Linked DNA regions of Caenorhabditis elegans. The protein of the gene in region 2 purifies or fractionates together with the protein of the main gene of each other region. This does not show direct contact. Each region holds a gene or a part of one and is shown on either strand. Other genes may lie near its edges. The genes, in order: pyp-1, aldo-1, gdh-1 and aco-1.

What was found.
Region 1: the proteins of aldo-1 (region 2) and pyp-1 fractionate together in Caenorhabditis elegans (co-fractionation; one large-scale study listed by BioGRID). This does not show direct contact.
Region 3: the proteins of aldo-1 (region 2) and gdh-1 fractionate together in Caenorhabditis elegans (co-fractionation; one large-scale study listed by BioGRID). This does not show direct contact.
Region 4: the proteins of aldo-1 (region 2) and aco-1 fractionate together in Caenorhabditis elegans (co-fractionation; one large-scale study listed by BioGRID). This does not show direct contact.

What each region holds. Positions count from the first base shown.
Region 1 is NC_003282.8:9,994,862-9,999,580, forward strand, and holds pyp-1 (Inorganic pyrophosphatase 1), read right to left. Parts: upstream 3,103-4,719; coding exon 2,896-3,102; intron 2,850-2,895; coding exon 2,698-2,849; intron 1,931-2,697; coding exon 1,800-1,930; intron 1,753-1,799; coding exon 1,262-1,752; intron 1,210-1,261; coding exon 1,043-1,209; intron 999-1,042; coding exon 863-998; 3' UTR 524-862; downstream 1-523. Other genes in the region: uba-1 (E1 ubiquitin-activating enzyme), read right to left, coding at 1-62; C47E12.3 (alpha-1,2-Mannosidase), read right to left, coding at 4,446-4,658, 4,714-4,719. UniProt on the Caenorhabditis elegans protein: Catalyzes the hydrolysis of inorganic pyrophosphate (PPi) forming two phosphate ions. Plays a role in intestinal development and subsequent normal secretory, digestive and absorption functions. Required for larval development.
Region 2 is NC_003281.10:13,562,799-13,566,681, forward strand, and holds aldo-1 (Fructose-bisphosphate aldolase 1), read right to left. Parts: upstream 2,140-3,883; 5' UTR 2,122-2,139; coding exon 2,028-2,121; intron 1,928-2,027; coding exon 1,452-1,927; intron 1,213-1,451; coding exon 685-1,212; 3' UTR 548-684; downstream 1-547. Other genes in the region: T05D4.2 (F-box associated domain-containing protein), read right to left, coding at 138-238. UniProt on the Caenorhabditis elegans protein: May be involved in the metabolism of fructose-bisphosphate (beta-D-fructose 1,6-bisphosphate) and of fructose 1-phosphate.
Region 3 is NC_003282.8:11,951,268-11,956,081, reverse strand, and holds gdh-1 (Glutamate dehydrogenase), read right to left. Parts: upstream 2,834-4,814; 5' UTR 2,831-2,833; coding exon 2,555-2,830; intron 2,508-2,554; coding exon 2,103-2,507; intron 2,058-2,102; coding exon 1,394-2,057; intron 1,134-1,393; coding exon 868-1,133; 3' UTR 541-867; downstream 1-540. Other genes in the region: tbx-36 (Putative T-box protein 36), read right to left, coding at 4,006-4,560.
Region 4 is NC_003284.9:11,338,271-11,343,873, reverse strand, and holds aco-1 (Cytoplasmic aconitate hydratase), read right to left. Parts: upstream 4,001-5,603; 5' UTR 3,999-4,000; coding exon 3,908-3,998; intron 3,729-3,907; coding exon 3,560-3,728; intron 3,510-3,559; coding exon 3,372-3,509; intron 3,325-3,371; coding exon 3,255-3,324; intron 3,083-3,254; coding exon 2,274-3,082; intron 2,226-2,273; coding exon 1,937-2,225; intron 1,890-1,936; coding exon 1,311-1,889; intron 1,231-1,310; coding exon 712-1,230; 3' UTR 547-711; downstream 1-546. UniProt on the Caenorhabditis elegans protein: Catalyzes the isomerization of citrate to isocitrate via cis-aconitate. Has probably no RNA-binding activity.

The DNA.
Region 1 (4,719 bases), on a different chromosome or scaffold from region 2:
TTGTTATTGGTGGCCTTGTTGTTAGTTTTGTTGGCCGATGTTAGCTCAAGGATGGTAGTCATTAATCACGAAAGATCAGAACCACTGAAAATAGTTTTTAATTGATGAAAACTGATGCAGTTCGAATAATGGTGGCTTAAAAGAGAAGAATCTGATGATGAGCTTTCGGCGAGAATTGAGATTGAAAAGCGAATGATTTTTAACCACTGCACGTTTCGAAAAAATGCGAAACAAACTGTTTGTGGAAGATTCTAGAAGGATGAAATTATTGATTTTCATTTGAAAAAAGTGGCGCGCTTGCGAAATGAAGAAAAAGGAACATAAGTGGAAAATGGCGCCAAGTTTCTCATAGAAATATTAGCAGTAAAATAGAGCGCTTTTGCATTTTTCTTCTTTGACATAAAAACATCGCTATCGTCGTCTCGTAGTGTTTGTGTTCCTTTTTTGCGAAAGAAATTTCTCGATATTTCTAATGTATTTTTAAAAGTTCGTTCGTATATGTTTGAAATCAGCATTTTCAAAATTTAAATTGTTTCTTCTGTTTATCGAGTTCGTGCTGACTCTGCTCACTGCTTTTTCCAAAGGAACTTTGAATTTAAAAGATCTGTTTGGATTTGACAAATAATTCACGTATGGTGGTAAACCAAAAAGAAAACATCACATACATAAACAGAGAAGATCCCCAATTCAATTTTTAAAAGTTTTTCGAATAATGAAAAAAACAATATAAAATTAAAGGAATCAAATAATCAAATACGTTGGAACAAAACAAGAGAATGAGGGAGTCAGTATAATTTCAGGGAGCGACAGTGCAATAAATTTAAAGTTTTGAAGATGCTTCACGGCTTCCAGGGCGTACTAGTCATCCTTGCACAAAATGCCACTTATCAACATCTCCTGGTAGTGGAGCATTTGCTCCATGTTCTGGGGTAGCGCCAATGGCAGTTGCGGCCGCTTCATCAGTTCCTTGGTGAACAGCTTCTGGAACCCGAGAGACTCTGAAATTTGAAGTTTAGAATATTAAAAGCGATGAAATCCCTACGTGTTCAAGGATGGGTTTGCTTCCTTGATGAGAGTCTTCCAATATTCGTTGGTCTCATCGATGACTTTCTCCGCGTATTCTCGGTTCTTGAACTCTCCATTAAAAGCGAACTCGTTGGCTGGTTTTCCTGCTGGAATCTTGTAATTGCGGAACCATTCAACAGATGCCTGAAAGAAAAAAAATGAAACGTATTTTGAAAAATGTTTAATCGAAACTTACAGCCAATAGTCCAGGATAAACCTTTTCGACGTCATCAATGTCATTCAACTTGTCAGCATTCTCATCGTTGACATCAATTGCGACCAATTTCCAATCGGTCTCTCCTTCGTCAATGAGAGCCAATGTTCCGAGAACTTTTACTTGCAGAACAGCTCCCCGTCCGGCAACCTTTGATCCAACTTCAATAACATCAATTGGATCATTGTCTCCTTTAGCTCCAGTGTCAGGAACAACATGGTTTGGATCTTCCCATGTCTGTGGAAGAGCTCCGTAGTTCCAGATGTATCCTTTGTGTGGGAAAATGTTGTGAACAAAGCGAGCTACACCCTTCTTCTCATCTTGCTTGATTGGCGAGAATGGTTCCTTGGTGGCCATTTCCATTTTAGCATTTGTCCAACGTGGAATCTCAACAATCATGTTGTAAACTCTCTTGTCCTTGTTGGCGAACAATGGAATATCGTGCCAAGGAGATACGATTCCTTGTGGTCCCTCTGCAAAATAGATATTAGAACCAATAATTATAGCAGCTTCGACTCACTGATATAAACTCTATAATCCAAACTATAAAGAGATCCACGCTCGACGGCTTCGTAAACTGCTGAATCTCCGGCTCCGGTGCTCATTTTCACAGCTTGACTTTGCAAAATGACAGCAGTCTCCGACAAGGGCCTGAAAAATAATAATAATGCGAATATTGAAAACTACATGTGTTTGCGAGTGGAATTAGATGCTATCATGAAAACACTTCTACACTCATAACAGCCAATTATAAGTATAACAAACTTGTTTGGGTTTCGGAAACAACGACCGCAAAAGAGCCAAGAGAACATTTTTCACAAGGTTTTTGTTAAACTAATCTTTAAACATTTTGCCACTCGAAACTATTAAAACGTGGATTTGCAAAAGTTTTCACGTTAAAAGTTTAAAAAAAAAATACGCCAGAATTTAAAATGCGAATTCAAATAAAGACAATAAAGCAACTTGAAAATAAATTTCCAAACACAAAGTGTCATTTTATAAGCATGTGTACTGGCATCTTTGAAAAGTATGTTACATAATTATAGGCAACATTTCTTTATTCTTTGAGCATTTGGTGACGGACTAGTCTTATCAGCTGACACCGCCCGTTTGCAATGTGAGGTGACGGGGTAAAGTTTAGTACGCCTACACTTCATCTACAAGGGGCTGCTGGACAAACTGAAGTTTTGGAGAAGGGTTAAATATTTTTAAACTACGTTTTTTCTCAATATAAGATCTAGCAGCGATTCGAGCATGACCCAGATTTAGATTAAATAATTGTTTTCTTTTCTTTTCCGCTCTACCAATGGATGTGAGTTATTAGAAAGTGATAGAAAACATCAATAAGGATTATATAAAACGTTATCCTCCCTTAAAAACGACACAGACACAAGAAGGAAGAAACATCAACACGCAACCTCGTGTGCAGACTCCTCTCCGAATTGGCTGACATTTGTCGTTGAGCTCCCGAAGAAGAGGTGGAGACGGCTGTGGTAAGACTGCCACGAGGAGAAGGTAATTGGACAGTTGAGCTGCCGGAATCCATTGAAGTGGTGTGAATCGCAGAAACCTACACATAACCAAAATAAAACTAGAACAATACTCATCAGTCTTGCCTGTGTGACGTTTGTAACTGGACGCGATGTCCTTGAAGTGGCCCATTTCTGTGAAGTATTTGAACTGCTGGTGGATGTTGTTGCAGTGTTTGAAGATGACGAGACAGTGGCGATGGCGCTTTCTTGGCTCACGGCACAGCCCATAATAAGACGAGTTGATAACAAAAATCCTCTCGCCGTGGCCACACTTCGACAGCTCAGTATCATCTAGGAAGAGATGAGGACAACTACAGACATTTGTGAGATATATGCGGAAAACACGAGAGACGCTGTGGCGCATGCACATTTTCAAGCAGTTGGTGATATGTGTGGATTTGGTTATGTCGTCATGATAGAAGCAAGATTAAATTGAAAATTGAAACATAAGGCAGGATAATATCATTCAACGATTATCTAAACCCTGTGGCTCAAAACAATCAGCATAAAAAACTCTCACCTGGGCCCAAAAGAAATCCTAATTTCAGTCATGAAATTTTTGAACATCTCAATATAGATAACATCAACTCAATAGAGGTTTAAAATAAATTTGCACAAGCTAATTTTCTTGTCTAAAAGGCTCTTCGCATGTTTGGTGATAAATGGCTTCTTGTTCAATGGCACGGATAAAAGTTATGGAAGACATGCATTTTCAATTTCCTTATCGCAATAATATGTAGCTTGAAAAACGCAGAAAAAATAAAATTAATCGTTGATGTTCCTAATAAATAACTCCACTCAGTATTGATCAATGTATTTAATCACTCTTAGCAGATAATTTTACAAATACTGAATACATTTTTGAGAATTAATATGTATAAAAAATAACTAAAAATTTGATTAAGATAAAAACAAAACAAGAATAGCATTGCCAGCGCAGCAATTTGTAAAAAATAGGCCTACGAAAATATAGCAGTGTACACACACATCACACCACAAACTACATGAAAATGCAGACGCAACCCTCAGCTACGGTAACAGTGAAATATTTAAGTCTGAACGCATAAAAATAAAATAAAAATCCCAGACAGTTGAGAAAATATGCTAAATATTAATTTGCATTTGAAAACCACCAAATAGGAACAGTCGAATGCAACAAACCTCGTAGCCAAAAATACAGCGACTGTGAAAAGTATAGCAGCCATCATCGCGATCAGCGGCTTGTTTCGTTTGGCGATCAACACGAGGCCCATCAAGAAACGACCATCACTGAAAGATCAATCAAAGAACACTTCTGGGAGGAGAATCTAATATTGAAAACCGCTTGGACTTGTTTTTGCTCTGTGAGCAGTCTTCTCTTATCAATACCTCTCGGTTTCTCCATTCGCCATTGTATTACACTGATTACAAATCACAAACGATGTGTCATAATTGTTGGTAAAACTTAAACTCTTATTGATTTTAGTAGAATGTAAACATATGATTTCATTATTCTATCTTCTTTTGATTTATTTCTAGATCATTGAAATTCATATATTTTAATGCTAACCGGAAAAAAAATATTGCTATCACAGAACTAAAACCACATAAAATATAAGGCAACAAGAAATCAGATATGCAATAGTACAAATAAATTATAACCAATCGTGAAGAACCGAATCAACTCCAATAACTTTGAACAATTCACGCATTTGAGAATGACGAAGTGGTGGGGTTCCAAAAGTGAAGTCTGTGGCAGTTTCGCAAAATGATGAGTTGGTACGTGGCAATGGTTTGAGAGGTGGATCATATTGAGATGGCGGAGTAGGAGGCAGATTGAACAGCGGGGATATTGGAAATATGTGACCCTGAAATTACTTTTCTAATTGTAAGTAAGAATTCCTAGATCAGCAATATTCATACCTCTGT
Region 2 (3,883 bases):
TATTCGTTTGACTTTTAAAAATCTCGGTTAGTCGATTTCTGAAGATCAAACAACTTGGAAAACAAAAACAATCCAACGACAGGGTGTAACACATTTACTATTGGAAATTTAGAAAATTTAGTTTTAAAAACACTTACATTTCAAAAGGGTTCTTGGCAGCCAAGGTATCCTTTTCAGTTGGCGGACCATAGTACTTGGTATAGAAGATCTCAGATCCTCTCACTTCGCGGTAGTACATTGCAATGGACAAATGAATGGCTGTAATGCGTTGCGAATAGTGTGCAACTGGTTAGATATCGATCTGAAAATGTGCATCGCACCTGCCCAAGGTTAAACGGCTCCACTGGGAAATTGTTCTCTCGCACTTACACTAGGCACCTTCTGTTCTCAACAATTGAGCAGACACATAAACCTACAAGGAATAGTGAGTAGTAGAAGACATCTTGACGTCATCACTATGAATGCATCGCGACGAGCCATCGCTCAATTGTCTGTCTGCTTGAATCAAATGTTCCAAAGATACATCTCTCTTTAATTGTGCATTCGTATCTACCAAAGATTTATTAAATCCGAAGAGACTTAGAGAAGCAAATAATGACAATTAAAGGGGTATACAGACACATAATTCTACGTGCGTTGAATAGTTTTAAAAAATGAGAAAAAAGAGATCCTGAGCGTGGCCATTTAATAAGAATGATTGGCGACGAAGAGGGATTGGGAAGCGGCTGCGTCAGCTGAAGCATCCCCGGTGTATTTTCCGACAGAGGCAAGGGAGTTGACCTGAGCACGATGGAGCAGGACTTCTTGGGCGGCTGCGATGTTCTCGTCCTTTCCGGCCCACTTGGCGAGACAGGAGGCTTGAAGAGCACGTCCATAGGAGAATGTGAGGGCCCATGGCTTCTTTCCGCTCACTTGATTGATGGCGTTCAAGTTCAATGTGGCATCCTCTTCGGATTGTCCACCGGAGAGGAAGACGACTCCTGGAACGGCGGATGGGACTCCGCGTTGGAGGGCGGTGACGGTGGCGAGTCCGATATCGGCATTCGATGGCTTCTCGCCGGTGAATGATTGTCCGGAGGTGACCATGTTTGGCTTGAGGAGGGTTCCCTCGAGGAAGACGTGATGCTCGTTGAGAGCGTGGTACACATATGAGAGCACGGTCTCGGTGATCTTCTGTCCGCGAGCCAAGCAGTGTTCACCGTCTGGGAGGATCTGAAATGATAACTAATTAGAGTGCCAATTATATTTTTTTTACAAAAAAAAAACTGCTGCGAGACCCAAGTAACGGACGTGGCATTAACTTGGGTTTTGCATCGAATATTAAAATTTTCTGTGAAAACCGTTCTAAGTATTACATTCAAGCCGATCTACGACTACATCCCCCCAAAAGGAACTTAGGTGGGTAGGTACCAGTGCTGTGCGACTCTCGGCTCTCGACTCTCGGTAATTACCTCTGGCTCAACAATTGGTACAAGTCCATTTTGTTGGCAAATTGAAGCATAGCGAGCCAAGTTGGAGGCAATTTCCTTAAGAGCAGTCACTGATGGAGTCGTAGATGAGATCTTGTGCACGCATCTCCACTTGGCGAACTGTGCTCCGTCTTTCTTGTATTGAGCGCAACGAGCATTCAAGTCATCCAATCCCTGAGTGGTTCCCTCTCCGATGGTTCCGGCCATTGGGACGACACCCTTGTCAACCTTGATTCCTGGAATGATTCCTTGCTCCTGGAGAAGAGCAGTGAATGGCTTTCCGTCGTCGGTCTTTTGGTAGAATGTCTCGTGGAACATGATGACTCCCGAGATGTACTTGTTGAGGTCGGCTCCGGCGGTAAACAGAAGTTGACGATACTTGCGGCGGTTCTCCTCGGTGTTCTCGAGTCCGATGCTGTTAAGACGCTTGTCCATGGATCCGGTGGACTCATCGGCGGCTGCAAATTCGAATTTCAGGGAGATTGGAGAGATTAGAGATTAGATTTGTAACACACAAAATGCCAAATTTTGTTTCCCAAATTTAATATCGTTACTTACCGAGAATTCCCTTTCCTGGGGTGACGATGGCGTTGGCGATGGAGCGGAGTTCGTCCTCCTGGGCCTTGGTCAAGAATTGCGAGTAAGAAGCCATTTTAGAAAATGAAGTTGCCTGAAAATGTGCAAGAGTGAAGTCGGTGAAAAACAAGGGCCGCTGATAAAAGTGAAAAGAGCCGGAGCTTTCTCTCTCGCGCCAAACGAATCGATGGCACCGCCGAGAAGGGAGACGGAGAGCCCCTGGCGAGAGAGCAAGAGTGTGTGAGAAGCCGTGCAGAGTGGCGAGAGGGAATTGAGGGGCCCTACGTGATTTGCACGAAATTTTGTGAGAAGTAAAAGAAGAAGAACTGCTGTTGGAGCAGAACGTGAGAAATAGTTTGAAGAAGCGAGAGGAGCAGGAATTGCCAAAGTCTTGAACTTTTCAACGTTGGAGGATTTGATTTGATTTGGTTCACGGAAGCGTGCGGAGATATGAAGATATGAAAGTTGAAATTGCTTTTCAGACATATGCCTCTGGCGTACTTAGAGCAGCCGGGCTATGAGCTCGAGCCTAGTTTAGGACTCATTGGAGTAGTCTGAAATTGAAATAATGTAAAAGAGATTACGAAATTTGGAATGATGCAATCGTTTTTCAGAGGAATCGACCCTACTTGGCACATTTTGTTTTTTTTTTTTAATTCGAAAATGAGCCAACTTGCCCCTACGATAAAAACACAATTTACCTAGTTTTCCAATATTATAGGGTTTAGACCACATAGTTATATTTAAAAAAAAACTAGAGTAAACTGCATTTTCGTTTGCCATATTCCGTAACTCGCTCTGTATTAATTATCAAAATAACTCAATTTTGTGTCATTTTACTCAATTTTTGGGGACAAAACCAATGGTTTTGGTCAAAGTTGTAATGTCAAAACTTTGGCATGTGCGGCAAATATCGAAATTTGCAGAGCTCGGAAAATTTAACAAATCTACTTTTTTGAAATTTGTCTTGCTCGGCAAATTCAGCAAAGTTACCGAGCTCAGCAAACGGCAAATTTGGCAAATTTGCCGTATACCCCTGCTCTGTTTATTCCCTGGGCATTCTCGTAAGACCTATAAGGCTACTATAAGTACGAGAACATGCGAGGCACGTACTAATAAAACAATTCAAAATCTACGACAAATCATGACAAAAAAAAACAAGAAGAGGATCTTATGTAAAACAAGCAATACATCTATGTATTCATTTTTGTAAATAAAATGAGCTTCTATGTCAAAACTATAACATGGGTACAACAAAAAAGACAGCGAATAGAAAACGACGTGATGTGAAAAAGATATTTTGAGAATGGCTATGTGCTTTTTTGCGTGAGATGGCAATATGGAGGAGGCATGATGCAATTGTGCGAATAGTGAGAGTTTAGAGAAAACGTAGAAGGGTTATGAAATTGTTTTTTTTTCTTCATGGACCCAGAATTTGAATGTGCACAAAGAAAACTTAACCATTGGAAATTTAGGTAGAATGCCTTGCAAAATCTATAAAAGCAACATCTTATCACGACTAACATATATATTCTTCTAATTTTCAGAGTTTGAATCAGAGGGGATCCGGAAATTTCAATTTCGGCAATTTGCCGGAAAAAATGGTTTTTGTCAAAATCTTTGAAAAAAAAATATTGGGAACTTAAAAAAAAAAGATGTTTGAAAAATGCGGGAAAACCGTAGCTCGGAATTGAGAAAAAGTTGTTACTGGCAAGTTTTAGAAGCTTTTGGAATGTAAAAAGTTTTAAAATTTTAACCAAGCGTATTCTCAATTAGCTGAAAATTTAAGCAATTCCAAAAAAAAAGCAACAAACTGTTTTGAAAAACTCGATTATCGA
Region 3 (4,814 bases), on a different chromosome or scaffold from region 2:
AATGTATGCTATTAAAATCTGTGAAACTACACGATATGCACATTCCAAAATTTCTCTGTAACTGCAAAAATTCAAAAAAATCTCCAATTCTAAATATTTCCCTCAAACATTTGCGTACACTTCGAACCGAAATGGGGGATTCCCTCCAAACTGTCTTTATCATCTTTTATCATTTCTTCTTTTTGTCCAATCAGATTAGCTTCGTTCAAACGATCACCCAATTTAATCTTTCAACATTTCTTTTCATTCTCTCCAGGAATTGCATCAGTTTGACGACGAAGGTTTTGCCGGAAAAGATCAACTGATATGGAAACGGCCAAGCATCAACTTCGTTTAGACAATTCGAAAATTTTGCAACAATTGTGGAGGTGATTCCCAAATTTGAAGCTGATAGTGGCACACAATGTGAAAGTGATATGTTATCGAAAATTCTAAATTATAGTAAATAGAAAGACACAAGTCTGATAAAGTTTTTAATGCTCCCTGAAATTTCTTTTCCAATGATCATTGGAAAATTGCAATGACCATGTAGAAGTGTTTAAGGAAATAAACTTTTTATTATTTTTGAGATTTTTTTTTGAAGAATGGTCTCCGTCTCGAAACCGTCCCGAACCAACAAACAACGAAAAAATTATGTGTGGGGATGAAAAGGGGTGGGGAACCAATAAAATATTTAATTATACTAAAGTGAGAACGAACCAGGCAGAAAAGATCAGAGCTAGACTTTAGTTAACCTAGATAGTTTCGAAACAGAAAACTATGGAAAAGGCACTAAAGGGTTACACGAAGCTATTTAAACCTGGCTTGGAGCCATTTGATGTCATAAAAGAGGATACAAGAGCCATGAGATGAGTGAGAAGTGGGTACTTATGTGAAGGTGAATCCAGCGGTTCTGTAGGTGTTGTAGACCTTCTCGATGGAGTTGGCATAGGCAGCAGTACGGATATCAAGTCCAAGGTTGTACTTGTGAGCGGTGCGGATGATGGCTTCTCCGGAGCGTTGCATTGTGTACTCGAGTCCAGAGTGAACGATGTCTTTCTCGGAAGCTCCAGCGATCTTGGCAGCGAAAGCAGCATTTGGTTCAACTGGGCAATCCTTTCCGACGGCCTTGGAGAGAGATTCTTGGACCGAGGCTGAAAATTCAAACATTTTTAAACAGAAAGAATTGATTTACAATTTGTTTCCTAGAGTGCATACGTACTCATTTTCACGACAACGGTTGAGTGGCCTCCTCTCCCTCCTCATAAAATAAACGGAAAAGTGTGACAAGCGTAAGAGTATCTAGCCCTTGTTAGTTTCTAAACAAAATTTTATCACAGATGAAAACTTGCAAATCGTTTCATTGTGTTACTCTACGCAAGTCTAGGAATTCAAATTTCGAAAATTTACTTACCCAAAAGCATCTTGTTGGCTTCCTCGTCATATTTGAATGTAAGACGTCCGTAGGAAACATGGTTAAGATTCTTCAACCACTCGAAGTAGGAAACAGTAACTCCACCAGAGTTGACGTACATGTCTGGGATGATGAGGCAATCTCCACGAGCAAGAAGAATTCTGTCAGCAGCTGGGGTAGTTGGTCCGTTGGCAGCCTCGGCGATGATCTTAGCTTGAATGCGGCTAGCATTTTCCTTGTGGATCGACTTTTCGCAAGCAGCTGGAACGAAGATATCGCACTTCTCGTACATAAGCTCAGTGAATGGGTCGAAGTTCTTGGCTCCTGGGAAGTTCTTGATAGTTCCATTGGCGTCCTTCCAATCTTCGAGCTCCTTTGGATGAATACCATCTGGGTTGTAGACGGCGCAATCGTACTCCTGGATTCCGATGACCTTTGATCCAGCACGGTGGAGGTATCTGTGGGTGTGAAGTCCGACGTTTCCGAATCCTTGGATGATAGCAGTCTTTCCAGCGAGTCCGGTGTCAAGACCGACCATCTTCATGTAATCAGCATCGTTGGTGAACACCTCGAGTCCCTTCCACACTCCACGTCCGGTGGCGGAAACACGTCCGTGAATTCCTCCACTGACAATTGGCTTTCCTGTGATACAAGCCGAAGCATCCTGCAAACAAAATTATTCACATGCTCACAAAAAATTTATACTCACTCTGTCCAAATGTCCAATGGTTTGGGCGTAGGTATCAGCGATCCATCCCATTTCACGCTCTCCGGTTCCCATATCTGGGGCTGGGACATCAACTCCGGGGCCGAGGAATCCCTTCTTTGCGAATTCGATAGCGATACGGCGGGTGATCTTCTCAATTTCATAATCAGTGTATTGCTTTGGATCAATCTTGACTCCTCCCTTAGCTCCTCCGAATGGAACATCGACAACAGCGCACTTGTAAGTCATAAGAGCAGACAAAGCTTTGACCTCATCTTCGCACACATCGAGGGAATAACGGATACCTCCCTTGGTTGGAGTTCTGTGCTCAGAATGCTGTGCGCGCCAGGCCTCAATAACCTCGAACTCTCCATTGTCACGACGGATTGGGAAGGTGATGTAAAGGACCTGAAGAAAATAAAATATGATAAATTAATGAGACTCAAAATTCTTACCTTGTTAACTGGCTTGATAGCTCCAAGAATTCCGGACACGAGATTCTTCTTATCCTTTTGGCTCAAAGAGTTGGACTTGAGCTCCTCGGCGAGTTTTGGAGCGATGACCTCGGCTCCCTTGTTGAAGTAAAAGTCGACCATCTTGTAGAAAGATGGGTTGACCTGCTCCTCCATTGGCTTCTGCTCGTCGAGCACCTGGGAGTGGGCATCGAGAGTAGCGGCCGAATAGCTTCGGACAGCGACCGAGCGGGCGCCTCTGGAAAGAGTGCTCAACATTACCTGAAAATAAAATATTTTGTAATTAAAATTTAAACAAATAAGAGATTTTACATAAGAAGCCAAAGTGCAAAAAGGAGGAAAAGATCCGGGCGGAATCGAAAAGTAAGGAAAATGCCAGGAGGTCTCGTCACGAAATCCATGCGCCTTTAATAATTTTCAGCGGCAGTTTGAAATTATTTAAGTTATAGCTCGTTTAAAAATATTTAAATCAAAAAAAATTGGCAGAGGCATCAAAACCTTTTTTCCTAAAAAAAATGTGGCACCGCCCGCGAGTAGGCAAACGCTTCTAGGCCACGAAAAGCTCGTCCTGGGGACGCGGGCGCCATAACTATTCAAAACTAGAGGAGCCCAACACAAAACTGTTTACAGGACAACGCGCAACCATCATCGGTGGGCGAGACCGATGAAACTGCAAGCAAAAGATAGCGTTTCATGGAGGAGGAGGAGGAGGTGACTGGCAAATAGATATTTAGAGAAAGAGAGAAATAGAGGCAACATTCGGGGGAAAAATAGAGAAAAGATGCTCCGCCTATTTGAAGAAGGAAAAAAGAAGAGTGGGACGAGTGTCATTGATCTTCGCCCATATTGTGTGGTGCTATTGCATAGGACATACGATCTGCATAGCAACAAAACAAAAGAAGCAGGGTCAATCGACGTCATCTGAGAAAGAATCGAGACAGTGTCTCGCTAAATTCGCGTCAAAAATCTCATTCAACGAATTTTGAATACCAGTTTTGTTTTTGTTTCTCTTTCGATTTGTTTTACTGATCGACATCTTTGATTCTTCGTAAATAATCTTCAGAATAAGACAACCGATTTTTAAATTTTATTTCTCCCCCAGAGATTTGACAGAAATTTTTGAAGAATGTGGCTTTTTCGGTGGTCGCTTCCATAACCAAACATAGAGCATAAAATATTTTTAAAATGGAAAAAAAATAATTAAAAAATCCGAGCACCAAGACGCGCTACCATAAACTTTTTCTCCCGACGAGACCCATTGGAATGAATTCATGCGCCTTTAAGAACAAATTCTACACTTTTGATTTTATTTTCATTATTTATTGAAAAAATTTCAAGAATGATAAAACGTGAGCTTGTTAGTTGTGATAAAAAAGAAAAACAGGTTAGTAATTTGAAACCGGATAAATCTAGACATAAGCATAAATCGAAAGTTATAACCGATTGTATGACTGGAAATAGTTTTCATGAAATGAATTGTCATAATATTGCTGATTATAAAAATCATAATGGACTGTGGGCGAAGTTTGAAAACTAGGAGATAATTGGTCTGTTTGTGGAAAAGTATGAACCATCTGATATTCTTCTGGAGACGATGGGTAGAGAGAGTCATAAATAGAAGATGGTATTGATTGTGGAGAATTGTATTGATATTGATAAAGGTACGATGGTGACGAAGGTGATGATTCAAGCAAACTCATGATTCCCTTTTCAGCATTTTTTAGTTCCTTCTCATCTAGAGATTCGACAGGAAGTTTTGCTGGACGTTTCGAACGCTGGCACTTTGTTCCACTGATTTCATACTTTCTTTTTCTTGAGAAACGATTCATACTCTTCTTCAATTCACGATTGACTTGTCCACGATATTCAGTGCAAGTGATGAATATCATTTCGTCGAATTTCGTTTCCTTCAGGTATATCAGTTCGTCGTTTTGCATCTCATACAACACAACTCGGATTTGATACATTGTTCTCGAGGAGAGACACACCTGAAAATTTGAAAAAAGTCTAAATGACCATTGCGCAATTAATCGTTTTGGTTTTCAAACATGCTGATTATTGGGGACGCAAAAAATGCCCCTTTTGAAATCAAGGTGCAAAAACGCCCCGCCACAAAACGTTGGGTCTCGGTAGGTTTTTGATTTTGGCGGAAAACCTGTAAATTGGTGAAGTCTGCAGAACGAATTGAAAAGGTTTGAATTTACGGTTTTGTCTCCAGAAACCTAACGAGACCCATGGCTAG
Region 4 (5,603 bases), on a different chromosome or scaffold from region 2:
CAAAGAACGTAAAGTTATGCAAAATTTACTTATTTTGAAATAAAAATATCTTTTGCGCTGGCAAGGGTCTCATATTACTTTAGTGATGTTAGCTATAGGGCAACTGAGATTTTATTGGGTGAGTGTGCACTTTTAAATGGGACTGAATAGTACGAATGAACTGCTGAAATGTTAGTCTATAAAAAGTCAGTTCAGTACAAATAAATACCGTAATCTCTCTGTTCATTTTGTTCAAACAACTAGAATGTTTGAGCTTTTACACCCAATTTTGTTGTTCTCAATGAAGATGTTTTCTTATTTATTTATACTCTTATGACTGAGAGAACAAAAAATACAATTAGTGATGACGACCTTTAAGAAAAAGTTGCAAAATGTTATATCCTAAACACTGTCAAACTGGAAGCACATTTCTTTCTCCTATAAATAGTAGAAATACGTTATTTGTTGAGTTTTAGTAAAATATTACGAATTTAAGTGGTTTTAGCAAAACAGAGACGCCAAAACTAAAATAAATTTGACCATCCACATGTTTTATAGCCCAATTATAAAAAGTATTGATTTATTTCGTTGCTCCAAATCACAAATTTATTGGACTTCAAACATGTTCATAAAATATCACAGAAAATAGAGAAGGATTGATGCATCGAAAAGTAAATAGTTATCTAAAAATAGAAAAAATTGACTTTCAAAAATTTAAGCTAAAATAACAGTTTATTGGATCAACTTTCTGATCATGTATTGGAGGATTCCTCCGTTGCGGTAATAGGTGAGTTCGACTTCAGTGTCAAATCTACAGATGACTTGGAAAACTGAACCATTGGATACATTCACATCAATGAGCTGTCCTGGCTTCAAATCGTCTGGAACTCCAATTGAGAATTGTTCTTTTCCAGTAAGTCCGAGACTATCAGCGTTTTGACCAGCTTGATATTGGAATGGAATAATGCCCATTCCAATCAGGTTGGAACGATGAATTCTTTCGAAGCTTTCAGCGATAACAGCCTTGACTCCTTGGAGGAATGGCCCCTTTGCAGCCCAATCGCGAGATGAGCCACATCCATATTCTTTTCCAGCAAGAATGATGGCTGGAATTCCGGCATCCTTGTACTTTTGAGCAGCGTCAAAGATGTCGAGCTCTTCTCCAGATGGCACATGGAGTGTAATAGGACCAACCTTCGACGCAAGCTTATTAACAAGACGAATGTTGGCGAATGTTCCACGAGCCATGATCTGAAATTTAAAAAAAAACGTGATGTGTTGTTAAATTCAAAGTTTTTAGAAAATCATATATTGAATGAATAAACTCTTACCTCATCGTTACCACGGCGAGCTCCATAAGTGTTGAAATCTCTTGGCGTTACTCCACGTCCAGCAAGGAATCTGGCGGCGGGAGAGGTCTTCGAGATTGATCCAGCTGGAGAAATATGATCAGTGGTTACCGAGTCACCGAGATTCAACAAAACGTGTGCGTTTACAATATCGGATTGTGATGGAAGCTCGCTAGTCATTCCATCAAAGAATGGAACCTTCTTGATGTAAGTAGAGGCATCGTCCCATGGGTAAAGCTTGACAGCCGGGCACTCCAATTGTTGCCACTCCGTGGATCCAAGCTCAATGTTAGCGTACACCTCGCGGAAGAATTGTGGCTTCACGAATTCCTCCTCAAACTTGGCAACTTCTTTTCTGGTTGGCCAAATGTCGGCTAGTCGGATTTCCTTTCCGTCAGGAGTAACAGCAAGAACTCCGTTAATGTCAACATTGACGTTTCCGATGATCGAGTAAAGAACAGCCAAAGGTGGAGATGCCAAATAGTTAGCACGAACATGTGGGTGAATTCTTCCTTCAAAGTTTCTATTTCCAGAGAGAACTCCGGCAACGACAAGGTTATTCTGAATAAACAATTATTTTGAAAAGAAAACAGTAGTTTCAACAATACCTCTTCGATGGCCTTTGTTACTGGCTCATCAAGTGGCCCAGAGTTTCCGATGCATGTCATGCAACCATATCCAGCAATATTAAATCCAATCTTCTCAAGGTATGGAAGAAGACCAGATGCTTCCAGGTATTTTGTGACGACTCCTGATCCTGGAGAGAGGGATGTTTTCACATATGGTTGGACATTCAATCCCAACTCAACAGCCTTCTTGGCAACCAATCCAGCTGCGAGCATGACACTTGGGTTACTGGTGTTTGTGCAGGATGTGATGGCAGCAATAACTACGGATCTGGAAGAAACATTATTTTTTGCATGTACTTCTAATTTATAGTCTTACCCGTGAGTAAGCTCTGCGGTTCTTCCGTGGTTGGTAATTGTGACAGATTTAGTGGCATCTTCTGGTTTAAGGCCAAAAGCTTTGAAGGAGATCTTATCAGTGAGCCCTTTGGAGAAATCTTGAGCCAGAGAAGCAAGCTCAACTCTGTCATGTGGACGCTTAGGTCCGGAGACACTTGGCACTACACTTCCAAGGTCCAATTTCAAAGTGGTAGTGTATGTTGGGCGGTAGGAGTCATCGGTGAAATTGACGAACATGCCAACAGACTTGAGGTATTGTTCCACGCGTTGAGTATAATCGGTATCACGTCCGGTTTGAGTGAGGTAGTCAATGGTACGGCTATCGACTGGGAAGAATCCAATTGTTGCTCCATATTCGGGGCACATGTTAGCAATTGTTGCACGATCGGCGATGGAGAGCGATGCAACTCCAGTTCCAAAGAACTCAACAAACTTTCCAACAACTCCGAGATCACGAAGGTTCTTTGTGATTGTAAGAACCAAGTCGGTACTGGTAACGGTATCACTGAGAGTTCCAACCAATTCGTATCCAATAACTTCTGGAATAACCATGGAAATTGGCTGTCCGAGCATCACAGCTTCAGCTTCAATTCCTCCAACACCCCATCCAAGAACACCACTTCCATCAATCATTGTGGTGTGGGAGTCGGTTCCAACGACGGAGTCAGGGTAGAGAACGCCATCCTTTCCAACAAACACTGTTCTGGCAAGATATTCAAGATTAACCTGATGGACGATTCCAGATCCTGGCGGTACAATAAGAAGATTGTCGAAAGCTTTGGATCCCCACTGAAAATAATTTGATAATACAATTTCATTTAAGCTATCTGAATATTTGTGTGTTCATTGAACAAAGTAGTGATAAGGGCAATCAAATGCATAGCGTGATTTTCCGAAAAGTGATGGGGAGAGTAAAACGTGACAGTGAAACTCTGAAAGTGGCATTTTCACCTTTCCTTACCTTCAAAAAGTTGAAGCGTTCTCTGTTTCGCTCAAACTCAATGGACTGATTCTTGGCAAGGGCTTCAAGGCTGAAAAAAATACAATAAATGTATAAACCAGGTTGCGCAGAACGTACTTTCCGTAGTGATCGACTTGCACGGAGTGATCGATGACAAGGTCAACTGGGCATACTGGGTTGATCTTGGCCGGGTCAGCACCCATATTTTGAACGGCGTCACGCATAGCGGCAAGATCTACGACGGCTGGAACTCCACTGAAAATTGCTTGATGTACATAAATTTGGTAATTTATTTTCAAGCTCACGTAAAATCTTGGAGAATAACGCGTGCTGGTTTGAAAGGAATCTCAGCTTGGTTACGCTGGCTGTTTTTCCAATCAAGAATGGTTTCCACGTCCTTCTTCAATACATGGAACTCATCGCAATGACGAACTGCGGCTTCCAACAAGTACTTGATGGAGATTGGAAGCTCGTCTGAAAATTTTGGGAAGGTTTTTAAAGAAAATGATTTATATATGACTTTAACATAATGAATTTATTCTTGCTCGTCGAAATTCGCTGTTTTTTTTTTCGTTTACAAAAGTTCCAAAATTGAATATATGCAGATATATTTTAGATAGATTGAGAATAGGATGTAAAATAGTTATACTTACTGTAACGAGCATCATTGAGACCATTCAAGTCAAAGTATTTGTAGACGTTATCTCCGATAGCCAAGTTGCGGATAAGGTTGTTGAAAGCCATATCTGGAAAGTTAGATATGGAAAAAATTTAAAAAAAAAAGGATTTCGATAGAAAAGAACGACAAAAGTGCATTGTAATGAAAAAGAGAATGCGAGGAAAACTAATGGAGGCGTGCCGAATCGGTGTAGTCGACCTGTCCGTTTTTGTGTGTGTCTGAGCGCGCTTAGTGTGTGTGGCTGTATTGAATGTGAGAGCGTTTTGTGTATGTTGTGTATGTGTGTGTGTGTGCCAAGGTCGGTCGAAGATAGTCATCTTTCATATCAGCTAGGACGAAATTGCGTCGTTGTCCAGTGTTTCTAGAAGGCTAATGTCGAGAAAAAAGGCGGCGAGAAAAAACGATACCATCTCAGAACTCAAGAAACAGTCAAAAAAGGTAAATGTGCACAGTGAAATAGTGTGCGGTGGGAAGAGAAGAAGAGGGCCGATCTGCATACACGTTGCGTACTTGACCCAAGAGGTTACGACAATGTTGCAGTGTGGTTTTTTTGAGAATTGAAACAATGCGCTCTCAGACATATTGAGAGATAAAAAGAAAATTCAGAGATTTGTGTCCGATATTTTTTATCTTTTGTTATCATTGATATCAGATCATTTAAAAAAGATTATCAAGTGGGAGAACTTTGCACAGATTGATGGTGAGGTGGAAATTCCTTTGGGAAACTGAAGAGCAAAAATTCGTTTTATTTTTCAAAAAAAAAAACATTTGAAAAAATGCAATCGAATCCATGCTATAACTAAACTAATACACTAGAATCTAGAATCACTAGAATCTGTAGTTCACAAAATTCATAGAGTACGGAATTTCTGTTAGCGTGACTAAAATTTACTAAGTTAAAAAAACAGAAGATGTTTGAGCACAAGCTGGTTGGTTTTTTGATTGATATTTTTGTTTCATATGTCTCTGTTCTTCATGATAATTTACTATATATAATATAAAGCGCTTATTCTGTGTGTCCATAGTTTGTAGTCTATGTAGTCTTTGTAGTCTGTGAAGTTTTGACTTCTGGAGGGATAGTGAGTTGGGGTTAGTGTAGGGATATAGTCGGGGTACTGTAGTGGTACAATAGTGGTACGGTAGGAATACTGTAGGGTTACGGTAGTTTCATAAAAATTGATTTTCAGCCCTAGAAGTCGGGGGCCGCGCCGAAGGTGCGGACCACGGCTGGTTCATAATATTACAATTACCGTTTTTCATAGTTTACCGCGTATCATTGTATAACCATGTTTTATTCAGAAAGACTTTGCATATATATTTTTATTTGATCCCAAGTTGAGATTCATAGAAACGTATTTTATTAAAATTGGTCTCACAATCATTCCCCGTATTACCTCTAGTAGCCTTTTAAGTTGTAAAAAGCAAGACAAGTGCTAACATGTGTAAACGTTTTGAACAAGTCTAGGTTTATTTTTTCAGGAATTGAAGAATTATCTGAAAATTCTACAAGGTACGCCTTGTCTTGTCCCGAATTATTGAAATACTGATTGAAGTTCTAATATTAGGATGACTCTTAGAAATGCAAGAAAATTACACACTGTATAACTAATAGGGAGTACACTTGGTAAATGAATAACACTGTTAAAAATTCTGAAAACTACCAAAAAAAA